Nothobranchius furzeri: one gene and its partners. The protein of the gene in region 1 purifies or fractionates together with the protein of each later gene. This does not show direct contact. Links are inferred from orthologs where the notes say so. Each region holds a gene or a part of one and is shown in the gene's direction. Other genes may lie near its edges.

Region 1 (4,377 bases):
TGAAATATCTGGCTTTGCATGTAATTAAGTTTTTTTTAATGTATTAGTTTCACCTTTAATCTGCTTTTGCATCATATTCTAATATTTTGAGCTTCATCTGTACAGTGATTCCCAACCTGAGGAGACTGGAGACCACTGTGCATACAGTAATGATGTAACCGGGACAAACAAACCTTTTCATTATAAATTTCCAAATATGACATTCCTACGCTGTAGTCCCATCCTTCATCCTGATCCGTGGCTCGGACCAGATTAAAGACCTCCTCAACAGCTAGAGGGATCACGCCAGGCTGCTCTGGACTTCCCAACATGGTGTGAGTCTTACCTGTGAATGAAGCCATGCAGGTTAATGTTAGGAAGAAAAACACACTTATTCCAGTGACAATGGCACCAGAACACACCAGCTCCTGTTGGCCCATAAGCAAACACGCTGGCGTTTTGTCCTTTCAGTATATTTGGTAGAATCGACTTCACTGATGAGAGGAAAACCTCTTCCTGTGTTGTGTCCTCTCCGTGGAAAACATCGAAGCTGGAACAAAAACCAAACCATGTTTAGAGTCAAATGTCGTGAGGAGAGGAGGACACTTGGGAGAGTGATACTGACTGGTATTTCACAGTTTCTGTTGCATTCCTCCAGTTGACTATCTCCAGGTTCTGGGAGTCCAGGCCTCTGACACACGGACCCTCGTGTTTATCATCTTGTTTGCTCATGTAAGGCCGCAGACGAACCGCTACCCGAACCCGGGAGGTCTTCTTGTTTCCACCATCTGCTACCAACACACGCTGCGCCATCTTCACACAAACAAAGGCCTGGATAACGAAAAAGCCAGAGTGATGTTCATCCACTTTATCAAACTCTATGCCACGCGAATATTTAGTATAATACACACCAGTAAATGCATGAACAGAGCATAAATGGAGTATTTGAAGGTAAGCTCTAGGTTTTCATCATTGCGTCACGAGAAGCAAACACACGAAAGGAGGTAATGTTGTTTCCAAACTAATGTTTCCTCGAAATCTGCCACTCCGCTTTTTTAAGTTTATTGGGGAAAGCTTACCGTTAAAAACGTCTTCCAAAAAACGCGTTTTTATCGTCCAAACATTCCCAGCTTCTCCTTTTAACAATGGCGATGGGCCAAAACTTCTAACTGAAAAAATTTTAAACGAAAAGACTGAGACCGGAAATGGGTTTTAACCAATCAGAGCTCGCGTGAACGCTGGCGCCTTTCAGCGATCTCATTAAGCGCTAAATAATTCATAAAACATAATTGTAGTTTTGTTGTATTTAATAGTATATTTTAAAAACTAGTATATTGAGTAAAAGTTAAATTAAAGAGGTTTTACTTTTCCCCTCCAAACAATACGAGTCGTTTAGCCACGGCACAGCTAACAGGAAGTTACGTTTAGCGTAGATTTCCACTTCATCTCCTTTCACATTTTAGACAGTAGAAGCCCTGGAATGACTTAGCCATACGCATTTAAATCAGCGGGATTTGGAGCCCGGTTAAACGCGACAACATCGTCAAGCAACCTATTCAGCCAAAATGGCGCTATGTTTATGTCCATGTTGAATCTTTTAATGCACTTAGCTAGCCTCATGGAGAGCTATGATGATCCCATCACTTGGGAATTACTTTAAAATCAAATTTTAACGTGACCAACGCTGACTCACGACAAATCGGTAATAACAATGAAGGATTTCCTTTATTTCTGCGGTGCGGTTTGACGTTAGCTAGCCCAGTAGGAATAAAACAAATAAACCTAAATATTCTCAAATTGCTTATTACGCTTTAGTAACAGGCGTAACTTGACTCGTTACCCGTGTAAATAATAACTGCCATTATCTCCCATTGCTAATTATTATCAAACATGCTGCTGTTTCGCAGATCCTATTAAAGTTGTCCAGCAGCAGGTAGGATGCAGACTGAAGTCACCAACTCTTCTCTTAGAGAGGGTGTTGAGGCTCTAGGTGTGAATGATCCAGAGAAATCTGCTGCAGACCAGGAGGAAGGCGGCCTAGAGAAGCAACAGGACTCAGAGATGACAGCTGTCACAGAGGAGAAAGACACCACTGCAAAGGATGACACAGGTAACTCCCTTAAAGGATAAATAACTTTGTAAACTCTTGGAGTCAGAAATCCGTCTGATTAGCACCAGATGTGGCCAAAAGCAATCACTCAAAGGCTGTATCAGTAAATAACAAGCCACATAAAGAATAGGGCTGCTCAATTGTGAATAATAATCAGAAATATTGTGTTTTTGGTCAATATTTAATTCCCAAGTATTTAACTAGATTACTTCTTCAGTTAGGACACACTTGTATTTATCATTTGCAGTTATAAAAAAAATACACCAAAAAAAGTCAAATGATGCCACAAACACACTTGACACACCAGACCTTGTAAAATGATCTGTGTTCACTTTACTCAAATTCTCCTTACTTCTATGTTTTGAACGAACGAACTTTTGAAATAAATACTCAAAACCATAACTCGTAATAGCAGAGCAATCATGTGATGCTTAAAATAGCTAGAGTTCACATTTTAAGACAAGTGCAGATACAGGATTACACCAGCAGGTGAAGGAGTGACCAATAAAACTTATGAGGGTTTAAGTATCTGAATTTACCACAGTAGAATTAATCTAGGACACCATGAATAGGAAAATAATTAAACTCGTGTTTTGTAACATTTAGTTGTTAAAACACAGACACCAGCTAAATAAACTAATTTCTTCTGAGTCAGTCTCATGAATAAAACATGTCCAGATATCCAAGCAGGAAGTAAGTGGGCATCAAAGTGTCTTTTTTAAATACCAACATATTACACAGGCTTTGGAAGATGCAGAAGTGTACTTCATTAGTAAAGAAGAACAAAATGAGAGTGCTTGCAACATAAAATAAGACAAACATAAATAACTTCTTATTACATTGTGTCAAAAAATACATTTGTGTACTTTTCTGTCTTCTCAGATGAGAACACAGAGGTGGTGGAAGGAGGGACACAAGAGAATGAACCTCAGGGGGAAGCAGGAGGGGATGCTGAAGAGGGGAAGCTGGCTGCCGGAGCAGACGACGAGTGGGAGCTTCCCTACAGCGACGAGGAAATGGAGGACCCCAAAAACTGGATGCCTGCTCCTCCTGAGATCAAAAGACTTTATGATATCCTCGCTAAAGGGGAGATGCTGGAATTGAACTTTGTGCCCCTTCCTAGAAGGCCTCCCACACCTGAACGCACCCCTTCACCCGAGAGAGACGAAGAGGAGGAGGCAGCAAAGGAAAGGGAGAGGCTGGAAAGGGAATGCAAGTCAGTAGCTCTCCTTTCTTTTTCTTATCTTCTGTTATTTGGATAAATTTGATTTACCACTCCCCCCCCACCCCCCCACCCCCAGGCCTCCGTCTCCAACAGAGTTTGACTTTGATGAGGAGCAACTTCATTCAACTCCTAAAAACTCCTTCATAAACAGACGCAGAACACCAGGTTTGATGATTTATTTTTTTATATCCTGATTTCCTGGGTTCAGCGAGGAAAGCCAAACTGTTTCCTCCCTGCATTCCAGGCTCGTCAGCTCGCTCCTCTGTGAAGAGAGAAGCTCGTCTGGACAAAGTGCTGTCGGACATGAAGCGCCACCGCAAAATTGAGGAGCAAATCAGGCGCACGGGCAGAGATCTATTCAAGACCGAGAAGAAGGTGGAGGAGGCCCTTTCCCCAAACAGCCAGAAGGAGCGGGAGAAGGAGAGGGAGCGAGACAGCAACCCAGACACCATCTTCTCCCCGAGACAGAGGAGATACTGAAGTATTCAGTCCCAGAAGCAATCAAGAGCTTCTCAGGGCTCTCGCAAGACTTTCATTTTCTAATGTTCACGTTTTGTATGTTTTTTGTATGATGGCAATAAAGCTTTTAACTTTTAACACTGTTAACTGGGTCATGATAACTAATTAAAAAGAAGTTGGGTTTAAAATCTAGAACCTCAGTTTTCATGTTAAGGTGTACATATAAGAAGGCAAATCATAATCTGAATCTAAATAACAGAAAAGGACTAAGTTCTTCCTTAGTGATCAACTAACCCTAACCCCAACTTGAATGCAGCTGTGCTCAGTTTTCTTTAAGCTCCTGGGACCCAAACATGTATTTGGTGTGATTTAAAAAAAAAGCATGTAGCTATTACAGATTAGTCAACTGTAATTAACAGAAACAAAATTACGAAAATTAAAACTAAATAAAAATTTTGTCAAATATCCTAAAAAAAAGGAAAGACAATTTTTTAAGTCAATATCAAGTGTCTGTAAATAATAACAAAAAGGTCTAAGTAGAAGTAGCAGAATAAAAAGGTAAGGTGCAAGGAGCCAATTTCCATAAATGTGGGCCCTAGAAAGG
Region 2 (3,650 bases), on another chromosome or scaffold:
CCTGGGTAATGTTTTGGATATGTTATGATTTTAATATTTTTGATTTTTAACACAGTGGTTAAAGCATTTTTTGATCAATTTTTCCTAATATGTGGTATTGTTCCTTAGTGGTCTTGAAGGGGCTGCTGGCATGGAGGATTCTGAAGGGCCAAACCTGGGTGGGGAGCAGACTTTGGGTTCGGAAAACTCAGGCCAGAAACTCACTGATTTTACCAACAGGCCAACAGGTAGATAACACAATATTTTTCCATCATCTGTATAAACCAAAGCTGATGGTCATGGTTATTATTATTGTTAACTTAATATTACTATTATTGTGCTTTAATAGGCTTTCCTGGTCAGGCAGGGGAGCAAAGAGTGCTGCAGCAAGTACCCATGCAATTCATTCACCAACAACAGCAGCAGCAGCAACAACAACAACAGATGCAGCACATGCAACAACAGCATATACAACAACAGCAAATGCAGCATCAACAGCAACAACAAATCCACCACATGCAACAGCAGCATATACAACAACAACAACAGCAGCAGCAACAACAACAATTACAACAACACCAAATACAGCAACAGCAACATATGATGCAGGTACTCCACAATGCTCAAGGGCAGCAATCCATGACAGGGCCACCAACTTCAGGTCAAGGTCAGCCACAGATGCATCCTCATCAGTTGCAACAACCACAGCAGCAACAACCACAGCAGTCCCACCTGCAACAACAGGTACTTTGTGTGTATGTGTGTGTGTGTGTGTGTGTGTGTGTGTGTGTGTGTGTGTGTGTGTGTGTGTGTGTGTGTGTGTGTGTGTGTGTGTTTTGGTGGCATGGCATCAACAACTTTTAAATCCATTCTTGATATTTTTTCCATCATGTGCTAGCAGCAGCAACAGCAGCAGCAAATGATGATGATGCTAAAAATTCAACAAGAGCAGTCAAAGAATCGCATGCCCATCCCTCCCGGAGGGCAGCTTCCTCCTCGTGGCATGGTCAATCCATCTGATATGCAAAGACATCCTGTTTCACAGCAAAGCAACATGCCTGTAATGATCAGCCTTCAGGGTCATGGAAGTGTACCCCCATCACCTGACAAAGCAAGGGGGATTCCCCTGATGGTTAACCCACAGGTAGAGATAAATTACAAAAAATAAAATTACGTGATAGAAATTATTTTCTAAATGCACTAATATTTATTATCTTTTGAAAGTCAATACTTATTGTGCGCATGTATATTTTCTCCTCCTTTTCAGCTTGCAGGTGCTGCACGAAGAATGTCCCATCCTGATGTAGGGCAGAGCACCCAAGGCACTGGACCCGAGGAGGGCCCAGCAGGGGCCCACTCAACACAGGACAGGCCTGGTGGGTCCCAGGAAATTGGGACCCAGCCAGGAAATGGGATCCAACAGGCTGTGTCCAGCCAGAGTTCTAACACTCCTATGATGAAGCAAGGCTCTGGTCAAACACAAATGCCCCAGCATACTGGGGCTAGTCCCCAGCAGCAATTACCCACTCAGCCTCAACAAGGAGGTCACATGCCTGGCCTTCATTTCCCCAATGTCCCTTCAACCTCCCAGAGCTCAAGGCCTAAAACCCCTAACCGAGCCAGCCCCAGACCATATCACCATCCCCTCACTCCATCTAATCGTCCACCCAGCACTGAGCCCTCGGAAATTAACCTTTCACCTGAGAGGCTAAATGCTTCAATTGCTGGACTGTTTCCTCCCAAAATTAACATTCCTCTTCCTCCAAGACAGCCAAACCTTAATAAAGGATTTGACCAGCAAGGTCTGAACCCAACAACTCTGAAAGCCATTGGGCAAGCCCCTCCTGGGTTAACTCTAACAAGCAACAACAATGGGAATGCAGGGGGAAACAACACCAATAATCAGCAGGCTTCTGGAGCTGGTGTTGGAGTTTTAGGTGCTAAACAAGAGAAACAGTCTGGGGGGCAAAGTAAGAGGGCAAGTCCTAGCAATAGCCGTAGATCAAGTCCAGCTTCTAGTCGCAAGTCAGCCACTCCAAGTCCTGGAAGACAAAAGGGGGCCAAAATGACAATAAATTGCCCTCCACACCAACAGCAGTTGGTCAATCCTCAAGGGCAAACAATGATGCTAAGCCCATCCTCGGTACCTCCGAGTCCGGTATCTATGCCTTCACAAGTTAGTGGAGGAATGGAAATGCAACAGACTCAGAGCCCCCTCCATGGGATTCACAGTAATCCTGCTGATGGGGTCAGGGAGAATCAGGGAATGATTACCCCAGAGCAGCGTCTAACGCCCCAACCTCAGTCCCAGTTACAACAATTCAGGGATTTATCGACCTCCAGAATGACAAGTCATCGTCTGCAGACATCCCAGCAGCCTAAACCTGATGTAGAACTACAGGCGAGTGCAGTTGATCGGGGTCCAACTCACCAGACTTCTATACAAAATACTGAAGTCTCACCTGCTCTCAGAGAAGCTCCGACATCACTTAACCAGTTACTGGATAACACGAGTGTATTGAACATGGCACTTGGGCCTACGCTGAGTAATACTGTTGCCATAGGAAAAGACGCCTCTAAGTCTTCTCTGGATCAAGACAGACCAGTCTCCAGTACTTCACAGAGTCTGCCATCTGTTGTCACCACAGCTACTGTAAATGAAACTGAAGCTAAACTCAGACCTGCTGTACCCATTTCTACAAGCAGTTCTACTTTGTACCCTCTTCCAGTCCCCAGCTCACACCCTCTGACTAATGTCAACTTAAGTACTACTTGTGTCAATTTAAATCCAAACTTACATTCAACACCTTCTCCTTGCAGCTCAGTCAGCACCAACACTAATGCCACTCTAGGTTTTAACATCAATACAGTCTCATCTGGTCAGAACAGTTCAGTTTCTGCTATTAGTACCAGTTCTAGCTCCAACTCTTCTGTAAATCCAATCAGTTCAGCTCTTAAACCAAGCCCTAGTCCTAAACCGTTAACAAATGTTCATCCTATTATACAGATTCCTGCATCATCAAGCAACCTTTCTCCCAGCCAGTTCAGAGTGCTTGTCACCTCAAACCCCATTACATCCGCGACCACGTCACAGGTGCCCACCTCTATGATGGGCGTCCCTAACAAAAACATCAGACCTCAGGACACCCGACAGCAGAGTTCTGGCACGAGACCTGCTCAGTTTATTACAACCACCCCTGTACTGATCAATCCAATTTTTCAGGTCACAGGTTCTTCAGTCCCTCCCAATACAACTGTGGTATCCCAGTCTGTCACCATGATGGGTGCTATTCAGGCGCCAGCAGCAAACATCCAACTTTCTCCTGCTCCAACCTCCACACAGCCATCAGGGGCCATTATGACAAGTGCTCACTCCATGAAGAGTGCTGTTGGACAGGTTCACATAGCTTCTAGTTTGTCTTCTTCAGTCCCTGTTGGTACTCTCATTGCTTCTCAACAAATCAACCAAGGAAATATCAAAACAGAAAATGTAGGTGAGACAAGTTCTCAGAAATCTGCTCTCGCTGTTTGTCAGCCTCCTTCCCATCCAAACCCTTTGAGTTCTTCCTTTCAGCCACCTCTAACTTCTCCACCCCCATGTTCTAGTCCTGGGACTGTTAACACCATTCGAAAGAGCCCTGTATCACCCTCTCCAACACCCCATGGGAAGA
Region 3 (3,650 bases), on another chromosome or scaffold:
CCTAGCTGTTTTATGAATTTAATGTTTTTATTTAGAAATATGTGGAAAAAACTTGAACTTAAACATTTAAGCATTAAATATAATTTATGCTTTTGTTAAACTATATAGCCTATTAAACGTGTGTATAAAATCCCTCTTCCTTTCTGTTCTAGCGGCAAAGAATTAAAGAGCTAATCCTCAAACAACATTTACAGAGGACTGCCAGCCGACAGGAGAGGGGCCCTCAGGATCCTGCTGGTAACACAGCCCCAGGAACGCCACGACCCTGGCCCCAAGACGGCCCCAGCCAACAGGGCGAAATGTTCAACAGACCTCCTCCACCTTATCCCGGACCAGTCCCCATGAGAGGCCCGATGAGATTTCCTGGATCTTTTCCAGTGGATCAGCGTGTCTGTTTTTCTAACGAGGGGCAAATCCACCAGCCCCCACACCCTGGAGATCCTAATTTGAGGCATCAGGGACCACGGTTTGTGACACTTTTGCTTTACTGTATTTCATAGAACAGATCTTTACTGTTTCCTCTGTTTAAAGTCATTCCCAATCTTGTTTCAGGTTTGCATTTACGGCCGGTGTTCCAGGACCTCACGGGCCTCAAGAGTTCTTTCACAGAGGGGAGCACACGATGCAGAATGTCCCTCCTCAGATGAGATTGCCCCTGACTGCTGAAATGACAAAAGGCATGGGAGGAAACCCCATGGGGCTGCACCACAACTTCCCACCACGCAGCATGCCGGTGCAGCAACACAACATAATGGGCCAGCATTTTATCGAGCTGCGACACCGAGCGCCAGAAAACAGGCCGCGCATGCCGTTTCCACTCGGCAGCATGCAAGGAAACAATATCGACCCTAACCTGCTGGGCCAACGGCCTCCAGACTTTTCTGGACCACCTGATCCCAGGTTCTCGTTAAATCAGGGGCTTAAAATGGTCGACCCTAATGGTAGCCAGGCCGGCCACTTACACCTCTCTGCTAGCATGGACAATCTTCATCAACAAAGCCAGATGCCAGGAATCAGCCCTATAAAACAATCTCCATTGATGAGATCTATGAGCCAACCTGCTTCAAATGAGATCCAGAACATGGCAGCATCCATGATCCTCCCTGCTCCCTCTGTTGTGCAGACCGAGGCCATCTCAGTGGCAACCAGTGAAGCTATTGAAGAAAAGCTAGATGGAGAAGACTCGGCTGTCAAAGACCTTGAAGATGTGGAAGTGAAAGACCTTGTAGATGCTGACTTGGAAAACCTAAATTTGGATCCTGAGGATGGCAAAGACTTGGATCTAGAGACCAACGACCTGCACCTTGATGACTTTCTGAAATCTGGTAAATTTGACATCATTGCTTACACAGACCCCGACTCAGATGACATCAAAAAAGACATGTTTAATGAGGAGCTGGATCTTAGCGATCCAATGGATGATCACGCTGAAGCTGCAGACCTCAACAGACATCCAAACACGGTAAGTGAGTATTCATCAAGTTCTGCATCTTTGTCTGCAAACTCGGAAACTTCAGGTGAGCAAAATTCAGCTGAACTCAAGCCGGACGACCCTGGGATTCAAAACTCGGATTCTTTACCACTGAACCAGGAAATTAAAAAAGAGGTCAAAGACTGTCAGAGGCCACCTGAAGAGGTTGAGGAGCAAGCTTCTGACAATGCCTCAAACCAGCAGGGGGCGCTCTCTGACTCCACCCCAGTCCTGTCCAGTTTACTCATTAAGCAGCAGCCCGAGGAGTCATCATTAAATCCAATCATCGGACCTGTCAGTCAAGGAGGAAACCTCATGGCCCAGCAGAACCAAGTTACTGATACACCACATACCTCAGTGCTTACAGCGAGCCAAACACTAGGCGAAAACACCAACTCGGGTGATGTTTCTATGACTGCCTTTGGAGCCGACCAAGTGGGGCTGACCCCAGGAGTGGACCAGAGTGGTCTGAGCCAAGCCCAGCTGGCAGGGTTGAACCAGGCCGCGGGTCAGCTTAACCAACCGCGTCCTCTTTTGCTGGAGGAGCAGCCACTCCTAATTCAGGACCTCCTAGACCAGGAGAGACGGGAGCAACAGCAGCAGCGGCAGATGCAAGCTATGATACGACAGCGTTCCAGCGATGCTTTTTTCTCCAACATCGGTGAGGCTTTCAGGCCGTCGTCATGCATGTCACCCTTTTAAGACAGAATACAGATTGGTTATCTTACTGTTTGTCTTTGCAGATTTTGATGCCATCACTGACCCCATCATGAAAGCTAAAATGGTCGCCTTGAAAGGCATCAATAAAGTCATGGTTCAGAACAACATGGGAATGACTTCGATGGTGAACAGGTATGAACGTTTACAACTGAGATAATTACTTTAAGTCTAAAGAAAAATGTAATGTTTGTAGAGTGCGTTGGGTTGTTTATTTGCATTTAGACGTTTTATAATATTAATGTCTCCTAAATGTTTTGACAGGTTTCCACCTGGTTCCGGACCACCACCCTGTCCTGAAAGCACACCGCTCCCTCCACAAGTTGTTGGATCGGTAATCAATTTTTCTAAAGAAATGTGTCAAATATTTCAGTTACAAATGTGAAAAACACCTTACCAATTTCTTATTACCAGGATGGAAAATTAACACAAGTACCAAGGCCAAACCCTCCCAGCTTTGGACCAGGATTTGTCAGTAAGTTCTTCAAAGATTCTCTTGCAAGATTAGTTATGGCTGCAACTCTAAATATGTTGGTTTTTATGCTCTCAAGGTTGCTAAGAAAACATCCCTTCTCTTCTCTTAGATAATCCTCAGAGGGCTCAGTATGAGGAGTGGCTCCAGAAGACTCAGCAGCTACTTCAAATGCAGCAGAAGTTTCTGGAGGAGCAGATCGGCGCTCACAGGAAGTCTAAGAAAGCCCTGTCTGCCAAGCAGAGAACGGCTAAGAAGGCAGGCAGAGAGTTCCCTGAGGAGGATGCTGAGCAGCTCAAACATGTCACAGAGCAGCAGGGTGTAGTGCAGAAACAACTGGAGCAGGTGAGTGCATAGCCTGTCAGGCATGTGCACACTGGCTGCCCTAAACTCTAAATACTCTCTTGTTTTTTCATTTCCTATGAGTAAAAATTTAATTGTTAAAGAAGCCAAGACGAGGATTTTAAAATAACAAAAACTCAGTTCACTCTTCTCTGATTTAAAAAAAAATGTCTTTATTTTGGAGACGTTTTATTTTAGCATCTTTTTTTTTCCCATATCTCTGCATATGAAAATTATGGATGCAAGCGGTGTCGTTGAAATTCACCCTAAGCATTAAGTCTCAGCTATAGCTAGCTTCCTCAGTGTCTGATAGAAATCCATTGAAATTCACTCTTTGTAGAAATCGTTTTTCTTTTTTTCTCATTTTAGATCCGCAAGCAGCAGAAGGAGCATGCTGAGCTTATTGAGGAATACAGAGTAAAGCAGCAGCAGAACAATATGACACCGTTAATGCCGGGGATGCACCCAGTAACGGCTACTCCTGGCATGATGCCCAGTGGACCACCGATGGTACAGCCGCCCACGAATGCCATGATGCAGATTCCGCTTCACCCTGGCCAGCCTAACGCGCCTCCACGTATGCCCAATGCCCCTCCAGGCTGGCATCCTGGGCCTGCCATGCCTTTGGGTGGACCAGGAATGTCTCCC

What was found.
Region 2: the proteins of pagr1 (region 1) and ncoa6 purify together in Homo sapiens (affinity purification with mass spectrometry; 3 studies listed by BioGRID and IntAct, with this or other methods). This does not show direct contact. The link is inferred for Nothobranchius furzeri from reciprocal best matches to the Homo sapiens genes PAGR1 and NCOA6.
Region 3: the proteins of pagr1 (region 1) and kmt2cb purify together in Homo sapiens (affinity purification with mass spectrometry; 3 studies listed by BioGRID and IntAct, with this or other methods). This does not show direct contact. The link is inferred for Nothobranchius furzeri from reciprocal best matches to the Homo sapiens genes PAGR1 and KMT2C.

What each region holds. Positions count from the first base shown.
Region 1 is NC_091756.1:34,661,698-34,666,074, reverse strand, and holds pagr1 (PAXIP1-associated glutamate-rich protein 1), read left to right. Parts: upstream 1-1,533; 5' UTR 1,534-1,681; intron 1,682-1,886; 5' UTR 1,887-1,917; coding exon 1,918-2,089; intron 2,090-2,971; coding exon 2,972-3,305; intron 3,306-3,390; coding exon 3,391-3,479; intron 3,480-3,558; coding exon 3,559-3,794; 3' UTR 3,795-3,911; downstream 3,912-4,377. Other genes in the region: kinesin-like protein KIF22, read right to left, coding at 174-325, 402-529, 605-792. UniProt on the Homo sapiens protein: Its association with the histone methyltransferase MLL2/MLL3 complex is suggesting a role in epigenetic transcriptional activation. However, in association with PAXIP1/PTIP is proposed to function at least in part independently of the MLL2/MLL3 complex.
Region 2 is NC_091755.1:60,755,558-60,759,207, forward strand, and holds part of ncoa6 (nuclear receptor coactivator 6), read left to right. Parts: coding exon 1-5; intron 6-108; coding exon 109-227; intron 228-328; coding exon 329-723; intron 724-877; coding exon 878-1,123; intron 1,124-1,246; coding exon 1,247-3,650. UniProt on the Homo sapiens protein: Nuclear receptor coactivator that directly binds nuclear receptors and stimulates the transcriptional activities in a hormone-dependent fashion. Coactivates expression in an agonist- and AF2-dependent manner.
Region 3 is NC_091751.1:52,876,155-52,879,804, reverse strand, and holds part of kmt2cb (histone-lysine N-methyltransferase 2C), read left to right. Parts: intron 1-152; coding exon 153-466; intron 467-552; coding exon 553-2,132; intron 2,133-2,214; coding exon 2,215-2,323; intron 2,324-2,452; coding exon 2,453-2,522; intron 2,523-2,602; coding exon 2,603-2,663; intron 2,664-2,772; coding exon 2,773-3,005; intron 3,006-3,371; coding exon 3,372-3,650. UniProt on the Homo sapiens protein: Histone methyltransferase that catalyzes methyl group transfer from S-adenosyl-L-methionine to the epsilon-amino group of 'Lys-4' of histone H3 (H3K4).